3 linked regions of the Saccharomyces cerevisiae S288C genome follow. The gene in region 1 interacts genetically with each later gene. Each region holds a gene or a part of one and is shown in the gene's direction. Other genes may lie near its edges.

Evidence for each region. A genetic interaction does not mean that the proteins touch.
Region 2: mutations in KAR3 (region 1) and MAD3 are lethal when combined (synthetic lethality), as found in Saccharomyces cerevisiae (6 studies listed by BioGRID, with this or other methods).
Region 3: mutations in KAR3 (region 1) and TOF1 together harm fitness more than expected from each alone (negative genetic interaction), as found in Saccharomyces cerevisiae (6 studies listed by BioGRID, with this or other methods).

What each region holds. Positions count from the first base shown.
Region 1 is NC_001148.4:815,234-819,892, reverse strand, and holds KAR3 (Kar3p), read left to right. Parts: upstream 1-1,969; coding exon 1,970-4,159; downstream 4,160-4,659. Other genes in the region: ribosome biosynthesis protein NOC4, read left to right, coding at 1-128; rRNA-processing protein RRP15, read right to left, coding at 818-1,570; TAZ1 (lysophosphatidylcholine acyltransferase), read right to left, coding at 4,357-4,659. UniProt on the Saccharomyces cerevisiae protein: Minus end-directed microtubule (MT) motor involved in spindle midzone assembly, poleward transport of newly captured kinetochores along the lateral side of MTs, karyogamy (nuclear fusion) during mating, and with an essential function in meiosis I.
Region 2 is NC_001142.9:408,993-412,926, reverse strand, and holds MAD3 (Mad3p), read left to right. Parts: upstream 1-1,886; coding exon 1,887-3,434; downstream 3,435-3,934. Other genes in the region: VTC4 (Vtc4p), read left to right, coding at 1-1,693; chaperonin-containing T-complex subunit CCT3, read right to left, coding at 3,765-3,934.
Region 3 is NC_001146.8:120,966-127,099, forward strand, and holds TOF1 (Tof1p), read left to right. Parts: upstream 1-1,917; coding exon 1,918-5,634; downstream 5,635-6,134. Other genes in the region: BOR1 (Bor1p), read left to right, coding at 1-33; GOR1 (glyoxylate reductase), read right to left, coding at 153-1,205; guanine nucleotide exchange factor SEC2, read right to left, coding at 5,840-6,134. UniProt on the Saccharomyces cerevisiae protein: Forms a fork protection complex (FPC) with CSM3 and which is required for chromosome segregation during meiosis and DNA damage repair. FPC coordinates leading and lagging strand synthesis and moves with the replication fork.

The sequences.
Region 1 (4,659 bases):
CTTCAAGAAAGTTGAAGACACTTCCTACGTTAGAATTTGAGGCTTTCACAAACGTTTTTGATAATGAAGACGGCGATAGCGAAGCGTCATCCCAAGGTAACGTCTACTTGCCTGGGGTAGCATGGTGAAAGCGAAGATGAACAACGAAGTTTTAAAAGTGTGTATATATACATTTATATCAACAGAGTCATCGATTTCCCTTGTTTGAGATGTAAAAAAAAAAAAAAATAGAAAATAGTAAGTCCCTGTTATCAATTTTGCCTAGGAAAAAAACCTGGGTCAAAAATAAATGGTCTCTAGCGGGATCGAACCGCTGATCCCCGCGTTATTAGCACGGTGCCTTAACCAACTGGGCCAAGAGACCATTCTATTGTTGAAGATTGTTTAATTTAGATAAACTTTCATAATGTTGAGAATTGCTTATTGCGATATATAAAGTTGAACCAAAGATCAATTTCTTTTTATGTATTGTAGAGAATTACAATTTGAAAAAGAGCTAAGGGAAATTGCTATATTCTAAAAGAAGTGCACAAGTACATTACCTTGAATTTTTATATTTATTCATGATATATTAATATTAATATATCGATGGTGAAGGACACCACACCTGTATTTCTTTGATTGAAAACAATTTTGTAACATTGGCTGCAAAAGTTTTTGCAATTGATATGAAACTATATGATAATATAGAATGCAAACAAAATTCAATTGCAAGGAGGAGGGAAGATATAGGGCCCCTTTCTCGCTTGACATAGACTAAATAATATACAGTTTTTATTTCTTTATTTTTTTTCTTCTTTTGACATGAACATGTTGATTATTCATTGTCGCTTCCTGCGGCAGCTTTAACTAAATCCAAAAATTTTTCTTTGGAAACTTCAGTGATCAATTCTTTCTTTTCTTCTTTATTCTTAATTTCGCTTAAATTTTCGGATACTTCCTTTTCTGTCTTGACTTGAGTTGCTAAAATGGCGTTAAATAATTTCACGGCACCTTTTTGAGCTATCTTTCTGAGCGCTGTCTCCTTCTCAAGGACTTTTCTAATATTTTCTGACCTGTCTTCTCCGGAAGCAATTGGAATAATATCCGTCTTTCTGGCTTTACCTAATAACTTTTTTTTTTCTGCCAACAATGCTTTTTTGGCCTTGTATTCTAGCTTTTCTGACTCACTTTGCTTCAGCACCTTTTTGTTTCTAGCCATGATGGGGTCCTTCCTGTCGTATGCTTTCAGATGTGATGATAAAATAGCATTTACTGCAGCAGAAAATCCAGTAGAACCATCATCATGTTTGCTGTTTTTCGATTTTTTCTTTCTTGGGAAGTCGTCGTCCTCTTCTTCTTCATCATCATCTTCTTCAGCATCACTTTGTTCGTTATCTATAATTTTAGATGATTCATCGCTAGAGCTATTCTGCTCGTCTTCTTCGGCTTCATCACCTTCCATTATTGTATCTTTTTCCGGCTCATTACTTAACTCTTGGTTGCCACTATTCCTTTTTTCACGCCCAAATTCTGCATTCTTTCTGGTTCTTTTCTTATCCTTAGTGTCTACTCTGTGCTTGGAGCCCATGATCAATTATGTACTGATTTTCCTTCGGCTTCTCTATCGCTTTATTCATAGCATCTGTTTATTACCTTTCCTTATATCTTATGGGCATCGAATCCTAGATTTTTTTCTTTCAAAATTTTCCAATAAGAGGGTAATGGAGATACACCAAAATGAATCTCAAACAAAATCAAAACAAACACTGTTTACAATTTGATGCGCCTCGAATCAAAATATGATGATGAGTATTACAGCTAAAAAAATTATCGAATATTATATAAGCATTAAAGCTATCAATTTTTCCGCTCTTTGTGTTTCTTATTATTCTATTTGAATATACCAGAACAACTATCCGGAGTCTTTGTTTAAAAAAGGTAGATTTTGAAATAAAGGACTTAGAGAAATTCTGGCAACTATTAAACTATGGAATCACTTCCACGTACTCCCACAAAAGGCAGATCTACGCAGCATCTCTCGACACCATCGCCGAAGAATGATATTTTAGCTATGAATGGCCACAAAAGAAGAAATACAACAACTCCACCGCCTAAGCACACTCTTCTGAAGCCGCAACGTACGGATATTCATAGACACTCATTAGCTAGTCAGAGTCGCATATCCATGTCACCTAATCGCGAGCTTTTAAAGAATTATAAAGGTACAGCAAATTTGATTTATGGAAACCAGAAAAGCAACTCCGGTGTAACTTCCTTTTATAAAGAAAATGTTAATGAACTCAATAGAACACAAGCAATCTTATTTGAGAAAAAGGCAACACTAGATTTACTCAAAGATGAACTAACAGAAACGAAAGAGAAAATCAATGCCGTTAATCTCAAATTTGAAACCCTTCGTGAAGAAAAGATAAAAATTGAACAGCAACTGAATTTGAAAAACAATGAACTTATCTCGATTAAAGAAGAATTTTTGTCAAAGAAGCAGTTCATGAATGAAGGACATGAAATACATTTAAAGCAGCTAGCGGCATCTAATAAAAAAGAGCTGAAACAAATGGAAAATGAATACAAAACAAAAATTGAGAAATTGAAATTTATGAAGATTAAACAGTTTGAAAATGAAAGAGCGTCGCTTTTAGATAAAATAGAAGAGGTAAGAAATAAAATCACCATGAACCCTTCCACTTTACAGGAAATGTTGAACGATGTTGAACAAAAGCATATGCTTGAAAAAGAAGAATGGCTTACAGAGTACCAATCGCAGTGGAAAAAGGATATAGAGCTGAATAATAAACATATGCAAGAAATCGAAAGCATAAAAAAGGAAATCGAAAATACATTAAAACCTGAGTTGGCAGAAAAAAAGAAGCTCTTAACAGAAAAGCGTAACGCGTATGAAGCTATCAAAGTAAAAGTTAAAGAAAAGGAAGAGGAAACTACAAGGCTGAGAGATGAGGTGGCATTAAAACAGAAAACTAATTTAGAAACTTTGGAAAAGATCAAAGAACTTGAGGAATATATAAAAGACACTGAACTGGGTATGAAGGAGTTGAATGAAATTCTGATTAAAGAGGAAACGGTTAGACGCACATTGCATAATGAGTTACAAGAGTTAAGAGGAAATATACGAGTTTATTGTAGGATTCGTCCAGCTCTAAAAAATTTGGAAAATTCTGATACTAGCCTTATTAATGTTAATGAATTTGATGACAATAGTGGTGTTCAATCTATGGAAGTGACGAAAATACAAAACACAGCGCAAGTGCATGAATTCAAATTTGATAAAATATTTGATCAACAGGATACAAATGTGGATGTTTTTAAAGAAGTTGGTCAGTTAGTGCAAAGTTCATTAGATGGATATAATGTTTGTATCTTCGCATACGGACAAACAGGATCTGGGAAAACTTTCACGATGTTAAATCCAGGTGATGGTATCATTCCGTCCACAATATCTCATATATTTAACTGGATCAATAAATTAAAGACAAAAGGATGGGATTATAAAGTTAACTGCGAATTCATTGAGATCTACAACGAGAACATCGTAGACTTATTGAGAAGTGATAATAATAATAAAGAAGACACAAGCATTGGCTTAAAGCACGAAATACGTCATGATCAGGAAACTAAGACTACCACGATAACGAATGTTACGAGTTGCAAGCTTGAGTCGGAAGAAATGGTGGAAATAATCCTGAAAAAAGCAAATAAATTAAGATCCACCGCTAGCACAGCATCAAATGAGCATTCCTCCCGTTCACACAGTATTTTCATAATTCATTTGTCTGGATCAAATGCAAAAACTGGAGCACACTCGTATGGCACACTAAATCTTGTTGATTTGGCCGGTTCCGAAAGAATAAATGTCTCTCAAGTTGTAGGGGATAGATTAAGAGAAACACAAAATATAAATAAATCTTTAAGTTGCTTAGGTGACGTTATTCATGCTTTAGGTCAGCCTGATAGTACCAAAAGACATATACCGTTCAGGAACTCAAAACTGACATACCTACTGCAATATTCACTCACTGGGGATTCGAAAACATTAATGTTTGTAAACATTTCACCAAGCTCCTCTCATATTAATGAGACTCTCAATTCGTTAAGATTTGCGTCTAAAGTGAATTCTACCAGATTGGTTAGTAGAAAATGAGGTCAAGGCCTTTTCTGGTCTTTTTCACTCCTTTGACAAATGACAGAGACTGTCCATACATTCATCACATGTAACTATATTATATATGAAACTCATTTTAATGCGCACAGATAAAAAGCAAAGTAAGTAATGAATATTTGTTATGTAAAAATGACCTCATACATGCTAGTATTTACACGAATTTAATTGCTTAAATTTCAATCATCCTTACCCTTTGGTTTACCCTCTGGAGGCAGAAACTTTTGCATCCTCCTTATTGCCCAATTTTCGCCAATGACTTTAACATCTGGGTCCGATTTACCTTCCGTGGTGTTGAACCGCTTCCACCATGAGGGGGATTTGAACCTAGGGTCTTCGCGTGGTAATTTGCGAACTTCATTTCTAATTTCAGCAACATGGGCTCTCAGTTCAGCGGCTAATCTGCTTCTTAAATCTTGCGCCTCTTTACCATATTTCAATTCGTCAGAGAGGTCGTTAGGATTTTTGGGATCATAGTATTT
Region 2 (3,934 bases), on another chromosome or scaffold:
AAACTATGACGAACTAGTCGTTAAAATTTCCCAACTATATGATATTGCCAGAACTTCAGGTCGCCCAATCAAGGGAGACTCATCTGCTGGTGGGAAGCAACAAAATTTCGTTAGACAGACAACAAAGTATTGGGTTCACCCTGATAACATTACAGAATTGAAGCTGATCATCTTGAAGCATTTACCAGTGTTAGTCTTCAACACTAATAAGGAATTCGAAAGAGAAGATTCCGCTATTACTTCGATCTATTTTGATAATGAAAATCTAGACCTTTATTATGGCAGATTAAGAAAAGATGAAGGTGCAGAAGCCCACAGATTGAGATGGTATGGGGGTATGTCTACAGACACGATCTTTGTAGAAAGAAAGACCCATAGAGAGGATTGGACTGGTGAGAAATCTGTCAAGGCAAGATTTGCGCTAAAGGAACGTCATGTTAATGACTTCTTAAAGGGTAAATATACTGTTGATCAAGTATTTGCCAAGATGCGTAAAGAAGGCAAGAAGCCAATGAACGAAATTGAAAACTTGGAGGCGTTAGCATCCGAAATTCAATACGTCATGTTAAAGAAAAAGTTGAGACCTGTAGTGAGATCATTCTACAATAGAACTGCTTTTCAATTACCTGGTGATGCAAGAGTTCGTATCTCCCTTGATACAGAGTTAACTATGGTGAGAGAAGACAACTTTGATGGTGTGGATAGAACTCATAAGAATTGGAGGAGAACTGATATTGGTGTCGATTGGCCATTCAAGCAGCTAGATGACAAGGATATTTGCCGTTTCCCATATGCAGTCCTGGAAGTTAAATTGCAAACTCAACTAGGTCAAGAACCTCCAGAGTGGGTACGTGAATTAGTCGGGTCTCACTTAGTTGAGCCAGTCCCAAAATTCTCCAAGTTTATTCATGGTGTGGCTACCTTACTAAATGATAAAGTGGATTCAATCCCATTTTGGTTACCTCAAATGGATGTTGATATCAGGAAACCTCCACTACCAACAAATATTGAAATAACAAGACCCGGTAGATCCGATAACGAAGATAACGACTTCGATGAGGATGATGAGGATGACGCTGCTTTGGTTGCTGCCATGACAAACGCACCCGGTAATTCTCTTGATATAGAAGAATCTGTTGGTTACGGGGCTACTTCGGCCCCCACCTCCAACACTAATCATGTTGTTGAGAGTGCTAATGCTGCTTATTATCAAAGAAAGATCAGGAATGCCGAAAATCCTATCTCCAAGAAATACTATGAAATCGTGGCATTTTTTGACCACTATTTTAACGGTGATCAAATATCTAAAATCCCAAAAGGTACTACTTTTGATACTCAAATTCGTGCCCCACCGGGAAAGACGATATGTGTGCCAGTTCGTGTGGAACCAAAAGTTTACTTTGCCACTGAAAGAACCTACCTGTCTTGGTTGTCCATCTCGATATTGTTGGGCGGTGTCTCCACTACTTTATTAACATATGGTTCACCAACAGCCATGATTGGCTCCATTGGGTTCTTTATTACTTCCTTGGCTGTGTTGATACGTACTGTTATGGTTTATGCCAAGAGAGTGGTAAACATTAGACTAAAGAGAGCAGTAGATTATGAGGATAAGATCGGGCCCGGCATGGTTTCTGTGTTTCTAATTCTCTCTATTTTATTTTCCTTTTTCTGCAACCTAGTTGCTAAATGAATACACAGCGTGTTTTTTTTACTGTATAATTAAGTAATAATCATATTAGATATAATAATTTCTTTAGCGCCATTTTTTTATATATGAGAACTACCCTCTTGCCTGAAATGCACACCTTCACCAGGCGCACACTGGTTCAAAAATAGTAAACAAAATCATGCGAAAATACAATAAAAGACGTTAACTTGATAGAATGAAAGCGTACGCAAAGAAACGTATCTCTTACATGCCATCGTCACCATCACAAAATGTTATTAACTTTGAAGAAATCGAAACTCAAAAAGAAAACATTCTTCCCCTGAAGGAAGGCAGATCAGCAGCGGCACTCTCGAAAGCGATACATCAACCACTGGTGGAAATAAACCAAGTTAAATCAAGCTTCGAACAAAGACTGATAGATGAGCTCCCTGCATTAAGCGACCCAATTACTTTGTATCTTGAATACATAAAGTGGCTGAACAACGCCTATCCACAAGGCGGTAATTCCAAACAATCTGGAATGCTCACCCTTTTGGAGCGATGTTTATCTCACTTAAAGGATTTGGAGAGATATCGCAATGATGTTAGGTTTCTTAAAATATGGTTTTGGTACATAGAACTTTTTACCAGAAATTCATTCATGGAAAGCAGAGACATTTTCATGTATATGTTAAGAAATGGAATTGGTTCCGAGTTAGCGTCATTTTATGAAGAATTTACGAATCTATTAATTCAGAAAGAAAAATTTCAATATGCCGTGAAAATTCTACAGCTAGGAATCAAAAATAAGGCTAGGCCTAATAAGGTTTTAGAAGACCGGTTAAACCATCTCCTGAGAGAACTGGGGGAGAACAATATTCAGCTAGGAAATGAAATATCGATGGACTCATTAGAGTCTACAGTACTTGGGAAAACCAGATCTGAATTTGTCAATAGACTAGAGCTTGCAAATCAAAATGGCACATCAAGTGACGTCAATTTAACAAAAAACAACGTATTTGTAGATGGAGAAGAGTCTGATGTAGAACTATTCGAAACTCCGAATAGAGGTGTTTATAGAGATGGCTGGGAAAATTTTGACTTAAAGGCAGAAAGGAACAAAGAAAACAACCTTCGAATATCATTGCTAGAAGCAAATACCAATTTGGGTGAGCTTAAACAACATGAGATGTTATCGCAAAAAAAGAGACCATATGATGAAAAACTACCGATCTTTAGAGATTCTATAGGTAGAAGTGACCCTGTTTATCAAATGATTAATACAAAGGACCAGAAACCAGAAAAAATTGACTGTAATTTTAAACTGATTTATTGTGAAGATGAGGAATCTAAAGGTGGTAGACTAGAATTTTCGCTAGAAGAAGTCTTGGCAATTTCTAGAAACGTTTATAAAAGGGTTAGGACAAATAGGAAACATCCAAGAGAAGCAAATTTAGGGCAAGAAGAAAGCGCAAATCAAAAAGAAGCTGAAGCACAATCGAAAAGACCAAAAATAAGTAGAAAAGCCTTAGTCTCCAAGTCGTTGACCCCCTCAAACCAGGGAAGAATGTTTTCTGGCGAAGAGTACATAAACTGCCCTATGACGCCAAAGGGACGAAGCACTGAGACGTCTGATATCATCTCAGCTGTCAAGCCGCGGCAGTTAACCCCAATTTTAGAAATGAGAGAATCAAATTCTTTTTCTCAAAGCAAAAATTCTGAGATCATTTCAGATGATGACAAGTCGAGTTCGTCTTTCATATCGTACCCACCACAGCGTTGAAATAAAACTAATCCCATGAATGAGTAAGTATACTGGCCAATCGTAAACACATCGACGGCCGACTTTTTTATTTAAAGCACAGATGATATAATGATTATTTAACGAATGATACTTCTATATTAAATCCTATGAGGAGTAATATAAATATAAAAAGGCCAATTTTAAAATGAACGTTTGTCCGATTAACGCTTATGACATACTGTAGGGATGACAAAATTATAGTGAGGACTTTAATTCTATATAAATACATTACAATAGTATAAAAAAACAAAAAAATGTGAAGAAACACCAAATATTAAACGGCAGTAATGAAGTTTAACCTCGAGGCTATTATTCTTGTTTTCTTACACCACTAACAATATCATCAACCCTTAATAGTAAACATGCACTTTCAATAGCGGTTTTGACACTTTGCTGCTTGATGACTTCAGGTTCCCAAATACCGTAACTAACCATATCTACAATTTTCCCCTTGTCACCATCAATACCTGTTGTAAAAT
Region 3 (6,134 bases), on another chromosome or scaffold:
GATGCAAAGTTCTGTGATAAGCATGAAGACTAAACGCAGTTAGGATGTACAAAAGTCAACCACTTGTAATATATAGAAATTAATTGCATATATAAGAAGTATAATAATATTATCGCATTTCGAAAGGAAGAATAAAACTATGGATCTTGTAGTCAAACTAATGGCTTAGATTCATTGGGCCAGTCTTCATTTTGTAATTCCGGAACAATAGTCAAGACTTTCCCGGTCAATATCACATTCTTTGCATTTTCAACGACCAGTTCTTCCATTTTCTTTCTTGTTTCTACACTATGTGTGCCCATATGAGGCAGTCCTAAGACTTGGGACATCGATAATAACTCTTTGGATATTTTTGGCTCATATTCGAAAACGTCCAAACCAGCACTTCTAATCTTTCCAGAACGCAAAGCATCAGTCATGGCTTGTTCGTCTATCACGGCACCACGCGCTGTGTTAACAATAACTACACCATCTTTCATTTTTTCAATAGTCTCTGCATTGATTAGATGGTGAGTATTGTGGTTCAGTGGGACGTTTACAGATACTATATCAGAACGCTTCAAAAACTCCTCGAATCCTACATATTCACAACCATGCTCTTCTTCGGAAGGAAGCTGGTGTCTGTTATGATATATGAAATTCTCGAACCCAAACGGCTTCAATCTCTCTAAAATACAACGACCAATCCTACCTAGACCCAGTATACCAACTGTTTTCCCTTCAGGGTCGTATCCAAAGGGAGAACCACATGCGGGTCCTGCCTCCGGCCAGTTTCCCTCGATCAACCTTCTGTTACCAATACCGAAGTTTCTTAGGGCACCCAATAGCAAAAATACATGCGTATCAGCGGTAGCATTGCTAACTAAATCAGGAACATTGGCAACCTGGATGTGCCTTTTCTTGAATGGCTCAACATCAATTTGGTCATAACCAGCACCAGTATGACATACAGCCACTACGGAGGAGGGCAAAGCAAGAGCAAGCTCTTCATCAAATCTACCGGTGTTTTTCACACTCCTTGCTGTTCTAGTAATGACTTGTACTTGGGAGAGCTTATTTTGTGGGTCTTTTACCTCCCGCAAAAACTGTTCTCTAGTGGTGGATTCAGGGATGGTAATTACATCCGCAATCTTTTCCAATTCCCCCCAGGCTTGGTCACCAAAGGCATCCTTTCCTAATTTCAAAACAATTGGTTTCTTACTCATATTCTCTTCTCCTCTTCTTGCTCGTTTATGTATTGTTAATACTTCGGTATTGTAGAGCAATAATCATGTAGAAGGATTTCCCTAACGTAACAACAAGGCCAATAGAATTTACTTTTTATATGCTCGAGATTAGTGAAAAATGGGATAAGATTGCCTTGTTATCCCCGCCCCCTGCCAAGACTTTTGCAGATTTTAAGTCCGCTCTCGGTCCTACGTAATAAATGCCTGGAGAAGCTCTAGAGCTAATTGCGTCGTCCTTCAGGAATTCTGAAGACCACAGCAACGCAATCAGATGGCGGAACCACATTATGAAGCCAAGTGAGGTGTATACAGAGTTATACGTACTTTTCATCCATCCCCGCTCGGTTTCACCGTTCATAACGCTGGTTTTCACTGCCACTTCTCATATCAAGTCAGCGAAATAACCAGTAGTTGTCCTGTATATAGGCATCCCTACCGTTTGCTTTAGGAAGCTGTTCTGTGTTACTATCACAACTGGGTAGTGCCCTGTATGAATTGCTTCCCTGTGGAAATGGCCCTTCCATTATGCTACTTTGACGCGTTTACTGCCGCATTACGCGTTTACGATGAAAAATTAAAATGAGTATTAAGGATTTTTCAAATGAGATATGGTTCGTAAGTCGCCTCACATATGATAATACCATCTAGCTTGTGGGGTTTAGTGTATCTTTAATATAGGAGGGCGCACACTATGTCTGCTGATTTGCAACAAGGCACTACAAATGCGGCTGATTTCTCTCTGACGGTACTTAGAGCAAGAATTGCTTTATTGGCAACTGCCATCGGTGGGCCGGATTATACTTCCCAGATAGACCCACCCCCTTATAAGCTTGGCGATGACTGTTTGGCGTGCTTAAAAGATCTGAAAAGATGGTTTAAACTAGTGGATGACCAGCAGAAAAGATGGGATGTGGCAATGGCAGTAGCTGAATATCGCATCTTGACGGATGATCTGTTACCTATTCTGATAGATTGGGAAAACAAATGTTCTCTTGCAGCAAAGCTTGCAAAGAACAACCCAGACCATGAAGAGTTTAGAAACAAAGCTTATTACGATAAAATTGCGCTAAATTGTCTACAACTATTGGTCCTTATGACTTGGCCTTTAATTGTAACTGAACAGTCTTCATCAAATCAAATTACTCTCTATGGTGAGCTAAAGAAGCATCAATTGGTATACAAGAAAACGATTCTGTCTATGGAAAGTGGTAAAGTGTTAAGAGCTGCCATTAGATTGGCTCTGGATGTTATCAAAATCGACCGATTATCAAGAACTCCTAGGGACAATATGGTTCTCAAATTGGTTTTGAATTTTTTCAGAAATGTCATTGCTATAGAACCCGGTGAATTTACTATCAATACTAAGAAAAGCATGCCTAAGAAAGGTATCACATCTATCGATACTTTGCCACCAAACGTCTCTATGGATGACATCTCTTTAAATACGGTTATTTCCTCATTCCATAAAAACAAGGTATTCGGTTTCCTCTTAACGCTGACCAGCTCCTTATCAAAAGAGTTTGACCAGGACTTTATCAATATCCCACTGTTGGAGATTATGTTCTACTTCACTAAAGATGTTAACCAAGAACTGCTATTCCCTCGACAGTTCGAAACCGGGACACATTCAAAGGTGGTAAATAAAAATGAGAGCTCCTCTGCTAATAACATTGTTACAAGTGCAGGTTTTGAACTATCGAAGTTATTACAAAAGGAACACCAAATGAGAAAAAACGTTATCAAGCATACATCTGCAAGACACTCCAGATTTGGTGGTCTTTTATCTATACAAACACCAGATAAAACTAGGTTAACTGTTTCTGGTAGCCAAGCTCTCGTAGATGAAAAAATAGCGCTCCAAAAACTAGATGACAGCAAAAAATGGAATAAAAGAATAATTAAAAAGCATCAATCTGTCGCAGCTGAGGGCTTACCGAATAGTCTCTTGAATTCACAAACCGGTAAAGCTATTTTTTTCACCGAATCAAATGGTAAACATTTCAAAGAATTCATCAACAACTTTATAGATTCCGGCTTTAACATCTTGTTGCATAGTGTGACGAACTACTTCACAACTGAGCAGGATAGGATGGTAACTTTGGAGCAAGTCGAATATTTACTTTTCTTTGCATGGTTTGTTAAATACCAGTTGTTGAGGTCCAAAATCGACAATTCCGCAGATATAAAGCAAGTTTCAGAAGCCTTGAAAGAGGTGACTTTCATTCTAGTGTCTTCTCTTTTAAGAAGCGCATATGACCTGAAAAATTGGACAGTGACACATGCTGGTATGATTGCATTTAATGAACTGTTGAACCTCGTTTCCCGTACAAAGGCCGCTCAAGAAGAGGATTCGACCGATATAGAATTCATTGTAAGTAGGCTTTTCAGTGACGAGAGAATACAATTACTGTCAAATCTGCCGAAGATTGGTTCCAAATACTCCCTCCAATTCATGAAAAGTTGCATTGAACTAACACACTCGGTATTGAAAGTATTAGAGCAATACTCTGACGATAAAACATTAGTTATTGAAGGCAAATCAAGACGGCAAAAAAAGTTTAATATTTCAGAAGGTGATATTACTAAATTGATAGAAGAAGAAAATGTAGATAGAGATGAAGCGCTTGATATTCTAACCTCTTCTTTAAGAAGTATAGAAGTCAATTTTCAAAAGGTGCAAGCCAACTATATGACAGAACCGGTAATAGAAACGTACATTAATTTCCTTGAAAGATTTCGTGAGCTTGAGGACGATTCCATTAAAAAAGTATTTTCCTTTTTCCATAGAGTATTTGTTCAGGCAAAAGAACAGGCATTGTTATTTAGATTTGATTTGATAATATTATTAAGAGAAATGCTTTCACCTGACGGATTAGATAGAATGTCTCGTTCAAGGAAATATGTGAGTCAATTTTCAGACTACTTCCTCGCCAGGTTGAAGAAAAGGTTAAAGAAATCACCTGCTTGGTTTGTTGGATTACTTTTCCCGCCATTACACAATAGTGAAGTAGGATTTTACCAAAGATATGGTGAATATAATGTACTTAATAATGAATCAATGTATGCCGCTCCTGCATCACAGTTCAAACCAATTCCCGATGAAGAAGCCTTACCACCTTCGATTTTGTTGGATATGAAATATGGTGTTTTAGTTTCCACATTACTTGATGATGGAAAAACTGAACTATTGGACCAACTGCTCAAGCATATAACCCACACACTAGATATTTTTAAGTCGTGGCTAACCGTAAATGTTAATGCTGGGAAAGAAACAGTTAATCCACCCAATGAATATTTCACATTGACAGGTGTACTCAACAACGACCCTATTTTTAAAGATAAGGACTACAGGGCTTTATTGTTGCTGATAGGATACTCCATTCCACGTAAAATCAATGAACCTTGTTTTTTACCGGGGACTGTTGAAGTTTCTGACCTGACTGTTTCTTGTGAACTAGTGAAAAAATACTTATCAACACCATTTGAAACTCCAAACGGACTGCCTTCTTCTTCCTATCTTCTACGAGTTCGTTCAGAAAAGGATAGTTTTTCTCACAATGAACAAGATGGATGGGAAGGAGACGATGATTATGATTACAACGATCCCTACATTGTTCCAGATGATCAAATTTTATCGAAAAGCGACGCAGCATACTTCAAGGATTTAGATAACAATGCATCAGATAAACTTAAAGGTACCAAATTCAGTAAAGGGATTGCGAGATCCAAAAAAAAAGATAAGAGGAAGCGTAGGAAAGGAGAAGCCAAGACTAATTTGCCAATGTTTGGCGACCAGGATGATGAACGACCTCAGACCGTTAGAGAACGCCATGGCGTATTCAGTAAAGAGTTTATTAGTGATTCAGAAGATGACGAGGATTTGATGAACCCTATATTTTTTGAAAACGAAACATATATGAGATGGTTACTAGATAAAAACAATGGTCAGTTGACCGAGGATAGATATATCCAGTTTGCCAAATTTGCCGCGGAAAGGATGAATAATGGGGGTGTTGTGACAGGAGATTATACGAGCTTGTTTGGTGGATCCATACCAAGTATTGAAAGCATAAGAGCTACAGAAAGTAGTTCCTTTGCGCCAGATAAAAGCCTCATTTCTTTAGCAAGCCACGTGGCATCTGAAATGTCTATTTTCGATGTAAATAATAACAATAATAATCAACTCTCTGATGACGATGTCAACTCGGAATCAAGAAATAGTTTGGGCTCATCACAGCCATCAAATTCGCAAAATATGTTCCAATCTGAGGTGTATAGCAGAAAAGAATCTACAAAGCGTTCTTTGGAAGCGAGTGCAGCCGATGAAAGCGATGAAGATGAAGAGGCCATCCGCCTTTTTGGCAAAAAGTCTAGAGTTGTTTTGAGCCAAGGTGATAGTGATGATTGAGAATGAATATGTAGTAATTAATCCCTTTAATACGTGTAATTTTAGAACCACTTCTTTACTCTGTTTTTAAGTTCAAAGTATTGACATAATATTAAAACAATACATGCGATTCATTCTTTATCATTACCTATATTTTTCTAAGTTGTTGAACATCTTAAGGAACTCAAATGTCCATTAGGACACATAAAATTAAATATTATATAATTTATTGCTGTTCCTGGGCATCATCGAAATTGTCATCATTGCTTGAAGACGCATGCAATCCGCTACTAGGACTATTTTCCCCTATTTGTTCTTGGGTTTTGTCGCCTATCGTCAAGTTTGTCTTTAAAGTTTTTTCATTATTATCCTTCTTAGAGTTCTCGTCTCCAGAAGATGCCCTCTTCGAGGATATATTTTGTTTTACATTAGACTCAGCGTTTTCAAATTCAGTCTGATCAATTGCGCTTTCTTCTCTAAATTGCTCTTCTAAATCATCCAAATCTTGGAGTAACTTCTTC